Macaca mulatta: one gene and its partners. The protein of the gene in region 2 purifies or fractionates together with the protein of the main gene of each other region. This does not show direct contact. Links are inferred from orthologs where the notes say so. Each region holds a gene or a part of one and is shown on either strand. Other genes may lie near its edges.

Evidence for each region.
Region 1: the proteins of JUN (region 2) and COP1 purify together in Homo sapiens (affinity purification with western blotting; 9 studies listed by BioGRID and IntAct, counting the BioPlex papers as one, with this or other methods). This does not show direct contact. The link is inferred for Macaca mulatta from reciprocal best matches to the Homo sapiens genes JUN and COP1.
Region 3: the proteins of JUN (region 2) and CREB5 purify together in Homo sapiens (affinity purification with mass spectrometry; 5 studies listed by BioGRID and IntAct, counting the BioPlex papers as one, with this or other methods). This does not show direct contact. The link is inferred for Macaca mulatta from reciprocal best matches to the Homo sapiens genes JUN and CREB5.

Annotation. Positions count from the first base shown.
Region 1 is NC_133406.1:33,619,822-33,623,471, reverse strand, and holds part of COP1 (E3 ubiquitin-protein ligase COP1), read left to right. Parts: intron 1-1,396; coding exon 1,397-1,473; intron 1,474-2,287; coding exon 2,288-2,407; intron 2,408-3,650. UniProt on the Homo sapiens protein: E3 ubiquitin-protein ligase that mediates ubiquitination and subsequent proteasomal degradation of target proteins.
Region 2 is NC_133406.1:181,865,314-181,869,063, forward strand, and holds JUN (transcription factor Jun), read left to right. Parts: upstream 1-982; 5' UTR 983-1,966; coding exon 1,967-2,971; 3' UTR 2,972-3,299; downstream 3,300-3,750. UniProt on the Homo sapiens protein: Transcription factor that recognizes and binds to the AP-1 consensus motif 5'-TGA[GC]TCA-3'.
Region 3 is NC_133408.1:99,536,209-99,539,858, reverse strand, and holds part of CREB5 (cyclic AMP-responsive element-binding protein 5), read left to right. Parts: intron 1-1,072; coding exon 1,073-1,300; intron 1,301-3,650. UniProt on the Homo sapiens protein: Binds to the cAMP response element and activates transcription.

The DNA of each region.
Region 1 (3,650 bases), about 150 Mb from region 2:
AGTCTCTGTGTGCCTATTATGGCCCATTTCTAATGTTGCCTTCTATATGAAGTGTGCTTGTTAACATTTTGATTGATCTCTGTGTGTATACTTTGTAAATCTATTTTAATGATAGTACTGATTATCACATTATAAGTACTGTATCATATGAATCTGTCTTGCTTGTCTGAATTGCTTGAGGCCTTGTATTGTATCTTTGAAGCTTGGATCCTTATGAACTTGGTATCTGTTTGGTGTTTTCAAAAATATTTATACTTGCATTGTGGTATAGTGGGAAGTATCAGACAGTTGGGTCTATATTCTCAGTACTACTTCATTGTATATGTCACCATGCATAAGTTCCTTAATGCTCTCTGTGCTAATATTCATCTCTAATTGGGGAGAATAATCTGTAAGATATTGTCTATAAAGTGCCTACCTAGCCTAGTACTAGTTTCCCTTTAAAAAAAAAAAAATCAGTTTTTTGTGTCAGTTTATATTTGTTGGTTGTAGAAAAATTGAAAAATCCAATTTAAAGTGGTTAAACATTATGGAAAATGTATCGATTCACAGGAAAAGAATTTCTAGAGCTAGTTATCAGTGGTTCAGTGGTATTATCAGGTTCTTTCTGTTGTTCTGTTCTTCCATTGCCAGCGTATACCTTAGTCTTTTGGCTGGCTATTCTTGAGATTACAAGATGGCTCTGAGCAGTTTCAGATACCCCTTATGAAGGCATGGTTTTTTCTCCTATCCTTTTCTTTCTGAAAGATAGCACATCTCTCTTTGGTCAAAATTGGGTTACATACTTAACCCCACGTCAACCACTGGCAAGGGCATGAATGACTAGATTGCCTTAGGTTAGTCAAAGTAATACATGGGGTTGGGGTGAGATCTAACTTCTCTGAAAGTTATATGGCAGTCTGATACTTGGAAAAAAAGTCATGTTATTATCAAGAAAAAGAGTAGGATGGTCTTTGGATAGGTAACTAAAAGTGTCTTCCATGGCATTTTTAGAAAAATTACAAAGAGAAAGAACAAATGCAAGTCTTTAGTGCCTAGCTCATAGGAGATACTTAGTTACTCATGCCTTGTTACCATATGGGGCATGTGATGGTCTCATATGGTGAATGAGGATTTCTCTCTCAGGTGCCAGTAGCGTCATCATTGAGAAACTTGTAAGGGAAAATTCATATTCTGAAGAATTCTCCTATAGTAATAGTAGTTGTAGTAGTAGCAGCTGCAGCACAACTGTTTTCTAATTTGAAATAAAATAAAAAGCTAACACTTTCTGTTTAGCATGTTTTTAATTTGGAGGCTGTGTATAGGTAAAATAGAATCTATCTAAACTGAAGAATTACACAATACATTTAACAAAAATACAAATTATTTGTGCTTTTTATTTTGTTTCTGTTTTCAGTGAATGAACTCATTCTTAAACAAAAGCAAAGATTTGAGGAAAAGAGGTTCAAATTGGACCACTCAGTGAGTAGCACCGTATGTTTCAACTCTTATTACTATTTTTAATACATTTCATTTTGTTGTTTTTATTGGTTTAATATTAGTTAGACGTTAAAGTTTAATATATTATTGATTTTTCTTAACGGAGATTGTTAGGATTGTTCTAGTCAAATAACTTTCTTAACTGCATTATCTGTAATACTTTGCTAGAGTGCTCCTATTTTGAAAGGTCTGGTAGGATTATATTGAAACATTTGTCTTTTAATACTTGACATTTGAAGGATTGTATTGCGTGGTGAAACAATGGTTAGATATTTTCAAAAAAACTGTCGAGGCTGGGCTTATACCTGTAATCCTAACACTTTGGGAGGCCAAGGCTGAAGGATCACTTAAGCCCAAGAATTTGAGACTAGCTTGGGCAACATAGTGAGAGTCTGTCTATATTCAAAGAAAAACAAAAACAAACCTTTGAAAGATTCTCAATTTTAAAGGCTTAGTCCCAAATTTCCAAGGCAAATGAGCTTAATACCTTACTACATGCAAAATTGAAAATATGGCTAGACAAATAATTAAATTCAGTTATTTTGAAGGTAAATTACAGCTTTAGAATATTCTCGAATGCACCTTTTATATTTGTTATCTTAATTCATTTAAGGGAGAAGAAATAGTGTTTAAGTTATAACTAGAAGACAGTAGGGAGCCGCTAGCTAGGAAGGAGTAGTTTGGAACATTGCAGTGTGTTTTTGGTGTCTATGTAATGAGCATATTAGGAAGTAGCAAGTAAACATTTGTTTTAGTCTCTAAAACAGTCTTCTTAGGAAGTTGTTGTTTCTTCTTTCTTCATTTTTAGAATGGCCACAGGTGGCAGATATTTCAAGATTTGTTGGGAACTGACCAAGATAACCTTGATTTGGCCAATGTCAATCTTATGTTGGAGTTACTAGTGCAGAAGAAGAAACAACTGGAAGCAGTAAGTGGTAGCTAACCTTAAAAAATATTTTAAATGGTGAACTTTATTGCAATGAAAAAGATCTAAAAAATGATAGGATAGCTTCACTAATCCACTCATTTTTACTCAGCTAGAAACAGCTACAAAGTGTCACTTCTGCTAGATTCCCCCTTTTAGTAACTTAAAGAACAATTTCCATACATTATAACTTATTTGCAATGACCAGTTTTTATTAACAAAAGCTGAGTGTTAAAAATCTTCAGAAAGAAAAGTTTCATTTTCATAGGAAATAGTTTTGTTGGTCATTTGTCTTCTAATGAGTATCTTTCTTGCCATATCATCCCCTATTCATATGTGAGAGTTGGAGGAGAAATAGAGATTATTTTTATCTACATAAAATTCTTTCAGCAGGTGTCCATTGGTAGCAACAGTAGTGTATGGCATAACTAAGAGCATTTAAAGAGATCTGTACTAAATATATCTTATTTAATGTAATGTAAAATTCCATTTATTTTATGTAAATGTTAAAGATGTAAAATGTGAAATTGCAAGTGTTGGGAATTGAGTGTGATATAAGCAACACACACCTTAGCATAAGCAAATACTACCCTGAGGCTAAACATAAAGGGAGTATTTATTGACACAGTAAAGGAGTGAATAACACATACACACAAAAAGGAATAGTTGAACAACCAAACTTTGAGAAGATTAGAACCATGGCTTCTCTGGAATGCTACAAGTACATGAGATTAAGGATTTGAATGTTGTTGAGAGTCTTTCTTTTGTGCCCCTTGTGACTATTTGATTGGGACAGCTCTGATTTTCTTTTCTTACAGACTTCTTTATCACATGGTGGATAATAATGTCATTTGCACTCTTGGTTTATATGCATGTTTTTTGATAAAAGAAAAAAAAGGAGCTTTTGTTTCCAACTGCAGTTAAAAAATTTTTGTGGCTAGATTATGATTAACTTAGCTTGGATCTGGATCCCACTCACTGTGGTGGGGATCTGCTAGTAGGAGAAAGGTGTGTCAGGTTGAGCCAGCCAGGATGAGTTGTCTCCCATGTTGTATCTGTTTGGGAGGTGGGGTTCATGGGAATTTCTCTTACGGTTTTAACCGTAGTTTTCTATTAGCATCTGCTATGTGCCAGGGGTTGTGTTAAGGGCTGTGGACAAGCTAAAGTTCTGCTGTGTGCGTGTGTTTGTGAACTAAATCGTAAAGCACGTATTTTCACATGGTGATAAGTAATAGAAAAGACTTTT
Region 2 (3,750 bases):
GGGTTCCCCGAGTTTCGGATCGCCTACACGCTTGTTCCCATCTGGACCCTGTTACCCACTAATTGCGCCCACTATAAAAACTGCCCCTCGGAGGCAAAGCTGTGATCCCCCGCGCCCTTTCCCCCACGGTCCCGGAGGATGAAGTGGGGTGCAACGGAGACTCAGCTGAGCGTCCAGTTTTGGGCAATACAAATCTCTCAGCTTCTAAGAGCAGCCAGACAACCCCGCGGACCATCCCTCCTGAACTTGACCGAGATGCAAACTTCGCAGCGTTTCTCAACGTGGGGGGCCGACTCTCGGGAGACCGCCCCCAAACTTAAGCCCCCTTAGGCTCGCCCCCAACTGGGACTTCACAGAGCCACCTTAAGGGCGGCGCTCCCGCCCCCCGGAAGTGCGGGGGGGCGGCGGACCTGGACTCTCAGCCTCCCGCCCCGCGCGGTGGCGGACGCCGGTGGATGACTTCGAGCCCCACAAGTGGGGAAACACAACCACCCCTCGCCCGCACCCTTGACCCAAAACAACTGGCCGGGTTCCCTGGCCTCCCGGGTCCCCGCATCCCCTGCATCCCAGTCCGCAGCCGTGAACTTGAGCCCCCTCCGTCAGATGTTGCGAGCGTCCGCCCGCTCGCGGCAGCCACCGTCACTAGACAGTCAAACCCCAAGACGTCAGCCCACAATGCACCGGGCGGGCCGGGAAAAACGGCCCGGGGAGGGGACCGGGGAAGAGAGGGCCGAGAGGCGTGCGGCAGGGGGGAGGGTAGGAGAAAGAAGGGCCCGACTGTAGGAGGGCAGCGGAGCATTACCTCATCCCGTGAGCCTCCGCGGGCCCAGAGAAGAATCTTCTAGGGTGGAGTCTCCATGGTGACGGGCGGGCCCGCCCCCCTGAGAGCGACGCGAGCCAATGGGAAGGCCTTGGGGTGACATCATGGGCTATTTTTAGGGGTTGACTGGTAGCAGATAAGTGTTGAGCTCGAGCTGGATAAGGGCTCAGAGTTGCACTGAGTGTGGCTGAAGCAGCGAGGCGGGAGTGGAGGTGCGCGGACTCAGGCAGGCAGACAGACACAACCAGCCAGCCAGGACGGCAGTATAGTCCGAACTGCAAATCTTATTTTCTTTTCCACCGTCTCTCCAACTGCCCAGAGCTAGCGCCTGTGGCTCCCGGGCTGGTGTTACGAGGAGTGCCCAGAGAGCCTGGTCTCCAGCCGCCCCCAGGAGGAGAGCCCTGCTGCCCAGGCGCTGTTGACAGCGGTGGCGAGCAGCGGTACCCACGCGCCCGCCGGGGGAAGTCGGCGAGCGACTGCAGCAGCAAAGAACTTTCTCGGCCCGGAGGACCGGAGACAACTGGCCCAGAGTCCCGGAGCGAACTTTTGCAAGCCTTTCCTGCGTCTTAGGCTATTCGGCGGCGGTAAAGACCAGGAGGCGGCGGACAGCCACGCAAAAGAAGAAGGACGTGCGCTCAGCTTCGCTCGCACCGGTTGCTGAACTTGGGCGAGCGCGAGCCGCGGCTGCCGGGCGCCCCCTCCCCCTCGCAGCGGAGGAGGGGACAAGTCGTCGGAGTCTGGGCGGCCGAGACCCGCCGCTGGTCGGCCTCTGCGGGTCGGCACTGATCCGCGCCGCCGGGAGAGCCGCTGCTCTGGGAAGCGAGTTCGCCCGCGGACTCCAAGGAACGGCGGCGCCCGAAGAGCGCTCAGTGAGTGACCGCGACTTTTCAAAGCCGGGTAGCGCGCGCGCGAGTCGACAAGTAAGAGTGCGGGAGGCATCTTAATTAACCCTGCGCTCCCTGGAGCGAGCTGGTGAGGAGGGCGCAGCGGGGACGACAACCAGCGGGTGCGCGCGCTCTTAGAGAAACTTTCCCTGCCAAAGGCCCCGGGGGGCACGGGTGTCCCCCGCTTGCCAGAGCGCTGTTGCGGCCCCGAAACTTCAGCACGCAGCCCAAACTAACCTCACGTGAAGTGACGGACTGTTCTATGACTGCAAAGATGGAAACGACCTTCTATGATGATGCCCTCAACGCCTCGTTCCTCCCGTCCGAGAGCGGAGCTTATGGCTACAGTAACCCCAAGATCCTGAAACAGAGCATGACCCTGAACCTGGCCGACCCAGTGGGGAGCCTGAAGCCGCACCTCCGCGCCAAGAACTCGGACCTCCTCACCTCGCCCGACGTGGGGCTGCTCAAGCTGGCGTCGCCCGAGCTGGAGCGCCTGATAATCCAGTCCAGCAACGGGCACATCACCACCACGCCGACCCCCACCCAGTTCCTGTGCCCCAAGAACGTGACAGACGAGCAGGAGGGCTTCGCCGAGGGCTTCGTGCGCGCCCTGGCCGAACTGCACAGCCAGAACACGCTGCCCAGCGTCACGTCAGCGGCGCAGCCGGTCAGCGGGGCGGGCATGGTAGCTCCAGCGGTAGCCTCGGTGGCAGGGGGCAGCGGCAGCGGAGGCTTCAGCGCCAGCCTGCACAGCGAGCCGCCCGTCTACGCCAACCTCAGCAACTTCAACCCAGGCGCGCTGAGCAGCGGCGGCGGGGCGCCCTCCTACGGCGCGGCCGGCCTGGCCTTTCCCGCGCAACCCCAGCAGCAGCAGCCGCCGCCGCAGCCGCCGCACCACCTGCCCCAGCAGATGCCCGTGCAGCACCCGCGGCTGCAAGCCCTGAAGGAGGAGCCTCAGACAGTGCCCGAGATGCCTGGCGAGACGCCGCCCCTGTCCCCCATTGACATGGAGTCCCAGGAGCGGATCAAGGCGGAGAGGAAGCGTATGAGGAACCGCATTGCTGCCTCCAAGTGCCGAAAAAGGAAGCTGGAGAGAATCGCCCGGCTGGAGGAAAAAGTGAAAACCTTGAAAGCTCAGAACTCGGAGCTGGCGTCCACGGCCAACATGCTCAGGGAACAGGTGGCACAGCTTAAACAGAAAGTCATGAACCACGTTAACAGTGGGTGCCAACTCATGCTAACGCAGCAGTTGCAAACATTTTGAAGAGAGACTGTTGGGGGCTGAGGGGCAACGGAGAAAAAAAATAACACAGAGAGACAGACTTGAGAACTTGACAAGTTGCGACGGAGAGAAAAAAGAAGTGTCCGAGAACTAAAGCCAAGGGTATCCAAGTTGGACTGGGTTGCGTCCTGACGGCGCCCCCAGTGTGCACGAGTGGGAAGGACTTGGCGCGCCCTCCCTTGGCGTGGAGCCAGGGAGCGGCCGCCTGCGGGCTGCCCCGCTTTGCGGACGGGCTGTCCCCGCGCGGACGGAACGTTGGACTTTTCGTTAACATTGACCAAGAACTGCATGGACCTAACATTCGATCTCATTCAGTATTAAAGGGGGGAGGGGGAGGGGGTTACAAACTGCAATAGAGACTGTAGATTGCTTCTGTAGTACTCATTAAGAACACAAAGCGGGGGGGAGGGCTGGGGAGGGGCGGCAGGAGGGAGGTTTGTGAGAGCGAGGCTGAGCCTACAGATGAACTCTTTCTGGCCTGCCTTCGTTAACTGTGTATGTACATATATATATTTTTTAATTTGATGAAAGCTGATTACTGTCAATAAACAGCTTCATGCCTTTGTAAGTTATTTCTTGTTTGTTTGTTTGGGTGTCCTGCCCAGTGTTGTTTGTAAATAAGAGATTTGGAGCACTCTGAGTTTACCATTTGTAATAAAGTATATAATTTTTTTATGTTTTGTTTCTGAAAATTCCAGAAAGGATATTTAAGAAAATACAATAAACTATTGAAAAGTACTCCCCTAACCTCTTTTCTGCAT
Region 3 (3,650 bases), on a different chromosome or scaffold from region 2:
CTCTCACTATCTCATACACACAGCGTGTGACAGGGCTCAGTGCTGCTTCAGGCATCGATTTAACGCTTTCAAAGGCCCAGCTTCCCAATCACCTAGAAAGCTCTCCTGGATCTCCTTTCACCCTGGTGAGCCCTCTGAGGGGCAGGCAGGCCCAGGTGGAGTGTGCAGGTCCGGCTAGTCCTCTGCATTAAGAACTGTGAAAGAGTCACAATAGGATTTCACCTGCCTTCCTGGCTTCATGGGCTTCTTTTGATAGGAGCCACAGTGGCAACGATGTCCCAGAGGTATGTTAGCAACACAACTTTACCACTATTAGAATGAAAGGAGCCCACAACCTGCTCAGAGGTTTTCTGCAGATGACAGTTGAGTCATCCATATTGTGATAATAACCCTGACCTTTCTGTTTTCACCCTGTAGCCATACATTGGCTATTTTAAAGTTGTTTGTTTTTGTTTTTGTTTTTTAGAGACAAGGTCTTGCTGTGTTGCCCAGGCTGGAGTGCAGTGGCACAATCATAGCTCATGGCAACCTCGACCTCCTGGGCTCAAGCAAGCTTCCCACCTCAGCCTCCTGAGTAGTTAGAACTGCAGGCATGCACCACCATGCCTGGCTAATTTTTCCATTTTTTTTTGTAGACACAGGGTCTTGCTATGTTGCCCAGGCTAGTCTGAAACTGCCGGCCTCAAATGATCCTCCCGCCACACCTGACCCTTACTTTAAAGTTTTTAAACACACCGTCAGTAAAACATTTTTAATAGCTGAAGGAGAAAAATAAATGTTTCCTCTACCATGATTCGGCTAAATGCCTGTCAGGGAAAAATCCATCTGACTACATCTTTTCACAAGTCATTCCTATATCTTGCCAACACATCACAGAATATATAGGTCAGTGATGCTTTTTCTTTTCTGAGTGTGATTTCATCATTTATTTCATTCATAGGAGGCAAGTCTCATATGCTGACTGAAGGGATAGACTTTCTGTGCTTTGCATTTCAGCATCAGCTTGGGTTTCTTCCCTTACCTAACACGTCCTTCCCTATCCCCATCACCTCCTCCCTCTCTGTCCCAGCAGGTTTCACCAGCAACACAACAGATGCAGCCAACCCAGACAATACAGCCACCCCAGCCCACAGGGGGGCGCCGGCGAAGGGTGGTGGACGAGGATCCCGACGAGAGGCGGCGGAAATTTCTGGAACGGAACCGGGCAGCTGCCACCCGCTGCAGACAGAAGAGGAAGGTCTGGGTGATGTCATTGGAAAAGAAAGCAGAAGAACTCACCCAGACAAACATGCAGCTTCAGGTGCAGCCCACGGTGTCTTTCCCCGGGACTCAAAGGCCCTCTGCTCCGCGGGCATTTCCGGCCCCGACAGGCACTTGTTGACCTAAGCAGTGATGCCACACACTTAGTCCACAGAGGAGCCGCAGCCTCACTCCTCGAGCTTTATTAATTCCGGGACACTCTACAAAACAAAATTAACCGTTCAGTTTTTCAATCAATTTGCCCACAGAGCTCTGAGAAGGGGGGACCTACCCAGCTAAGTTGTAGGCTGGGAGCACAGGCTTTAATCCGACAGAGATCCAAACCCGGTTCAGCAATTACTTGCTAGGTTTAACTCGCTGGCGCTCTGTTTCTTCCTCTATAGAATGGGAATCATAACTTTATAGAGTTGTTACATTAGGGGGAATAAACAAACTAATGTCTCCAAAGCAGTTGCCCAGTGCCTGGCCCATAATAAACCTTCAACTGAAAAGGAGCTGTTCGTTATATTCACTAGGTTGAGGGGGTTGCCTTGGCTTATACTTGGTTATCTCTATTTTTGTTTCACATGAAAGAAAGAAAGGTTTATGGTCATTATGTAGCTCTGAAAGAAAAGGCATGTTTTCATCTCATTTGCCAACTCACCAAGATTTGAATCTTGCATAATTTTTGCTTTTTATGAATGGCTTCACTGGGGAGATTTTATAATGAGGCCCAGAAGTGTCTGGGCGTGTCTAAGAGAAAAGGAAGAAACTCTAGTACCCGGGCTTCTCCGGCAGACTTTATAGTTTATAATGATGTAGTTCAGAGCATTTGTTCTAATGTTAAAAATATGTGCACTATTTATCAGCAGAAAAAAAGGCAAGTAAATAGACACGTATGTGACCCACAGTCCAGGGATAGCATTAAGAGTTGTGGATTATACTCCAGTGCTTCCAGAAGCTGAGAGAATGGCCAAAGAGAGTGGGGCAGGGAGGAAAGTACCCTACATAGGGAGACTCTGCACTTTAAGAGTTCATGGGGTCTGGGTGCAGTGGCCCACACCTGTAATCCCAGCACTTGGGGAGGCTAATCACTTTGGGAGGTGGCGGGATCACTTGGGGTCCGGAGTTTGACCAGCCTGGCCAAGGTGCAGAAACCCTGTCTCTACTAAAAATACAAAAAAAATTTGCCGTGGTGGCTCAGGCCCGTAGTCCCAGCTGCTCAAGAGGCTGAGGCAGCAGAGTGGCTTGAATGCAGGAGGGAGAGTCTGTAGTGAGCCAAGATCGCATCACTGTACTCCAGCCTGGGCAACAGGGTGAGACTCTGTCTCAAAAAAAAAATAAAAAATAAAAAAATAAAACAGTTAATGGCTAGGCATTGGTAGGTTACTTTCATCTTCTTCCCACACCTAGTTCTCTGTGCATCCTTAGAAAGGAACAGTTAGGGTGCCAAACCCCAAAGCCTTTGCATATTCAGTTTCATTAAATGGAGATGGCTTGGGGCTTCCAGTGTACAAATTGAAAGTATATAAGGAAAGTGTGTGTTGTATGAGGGCCTGAATTTCATAATTTATGGATGTTCATTTTTCCCCCTAAATGTGTCATTCTTTTTGTGATAGACATGATGAGCAAGAAACTGCGAAACATATAGCAGATGTGAGGAAAATAAGATAATGATTCCTGCACTAACTTGCATGCTGCGGGAAGATTGGGACTGTCTCTTGCTACTCCCTCCGCCCACTATCTATCTGCTGTTTATAGTGTGGTGTCTACACTCAGTAACTTATTTGTTGAATAAATGAATGGGTTCCCCTGTTTATAGTATAGTGTCTACACTCAGTAACCATTTGTTAAATAAATGAATGAATTCCTCATTGCTGGAGTGTCTAAGAATTGGCTGCTTGACTACTTGGCAAGGATGTGATTGCAGGGAGTCAAGCCACCAGAGAAATGGCTGGACTCAAACACCTTTAAAACCACTTGTAGAATCTGATAGGCACAGTAGTATCTGAGAAACTTTTAGGTAGAATGTGGTTAAGCATTTTTCTTTTTTGAGACAGAGCCTCACTCCATTGCCCAGGCTGGAGGGCAGCTTACTACAGCCTTGACCTCCTGGACTCGAGTGTTCCTCCCACCTCAGCCTCCCGAAGTGTACATCACCATGCCTGGCTAATTTTTTTTTTTTTCTCTAGAGACAAGGTCTTATTATGTTACCCAGGCTGGTCTCAAACTCCTGGGCTCAAGCAACCCTCCAACCTCAGCCTCCCAAAGTGTTAGGATTATAGGTGTGAGCCTCTATGCCAAGCCAAGCATTTTTAATATTAATAATCATATTTTAATTTTGATGTGTATTGAAAAATGTAATTAGAAGATCAAATCTGCAATTTCAAAGATATTAGTAAGAAGGCTAA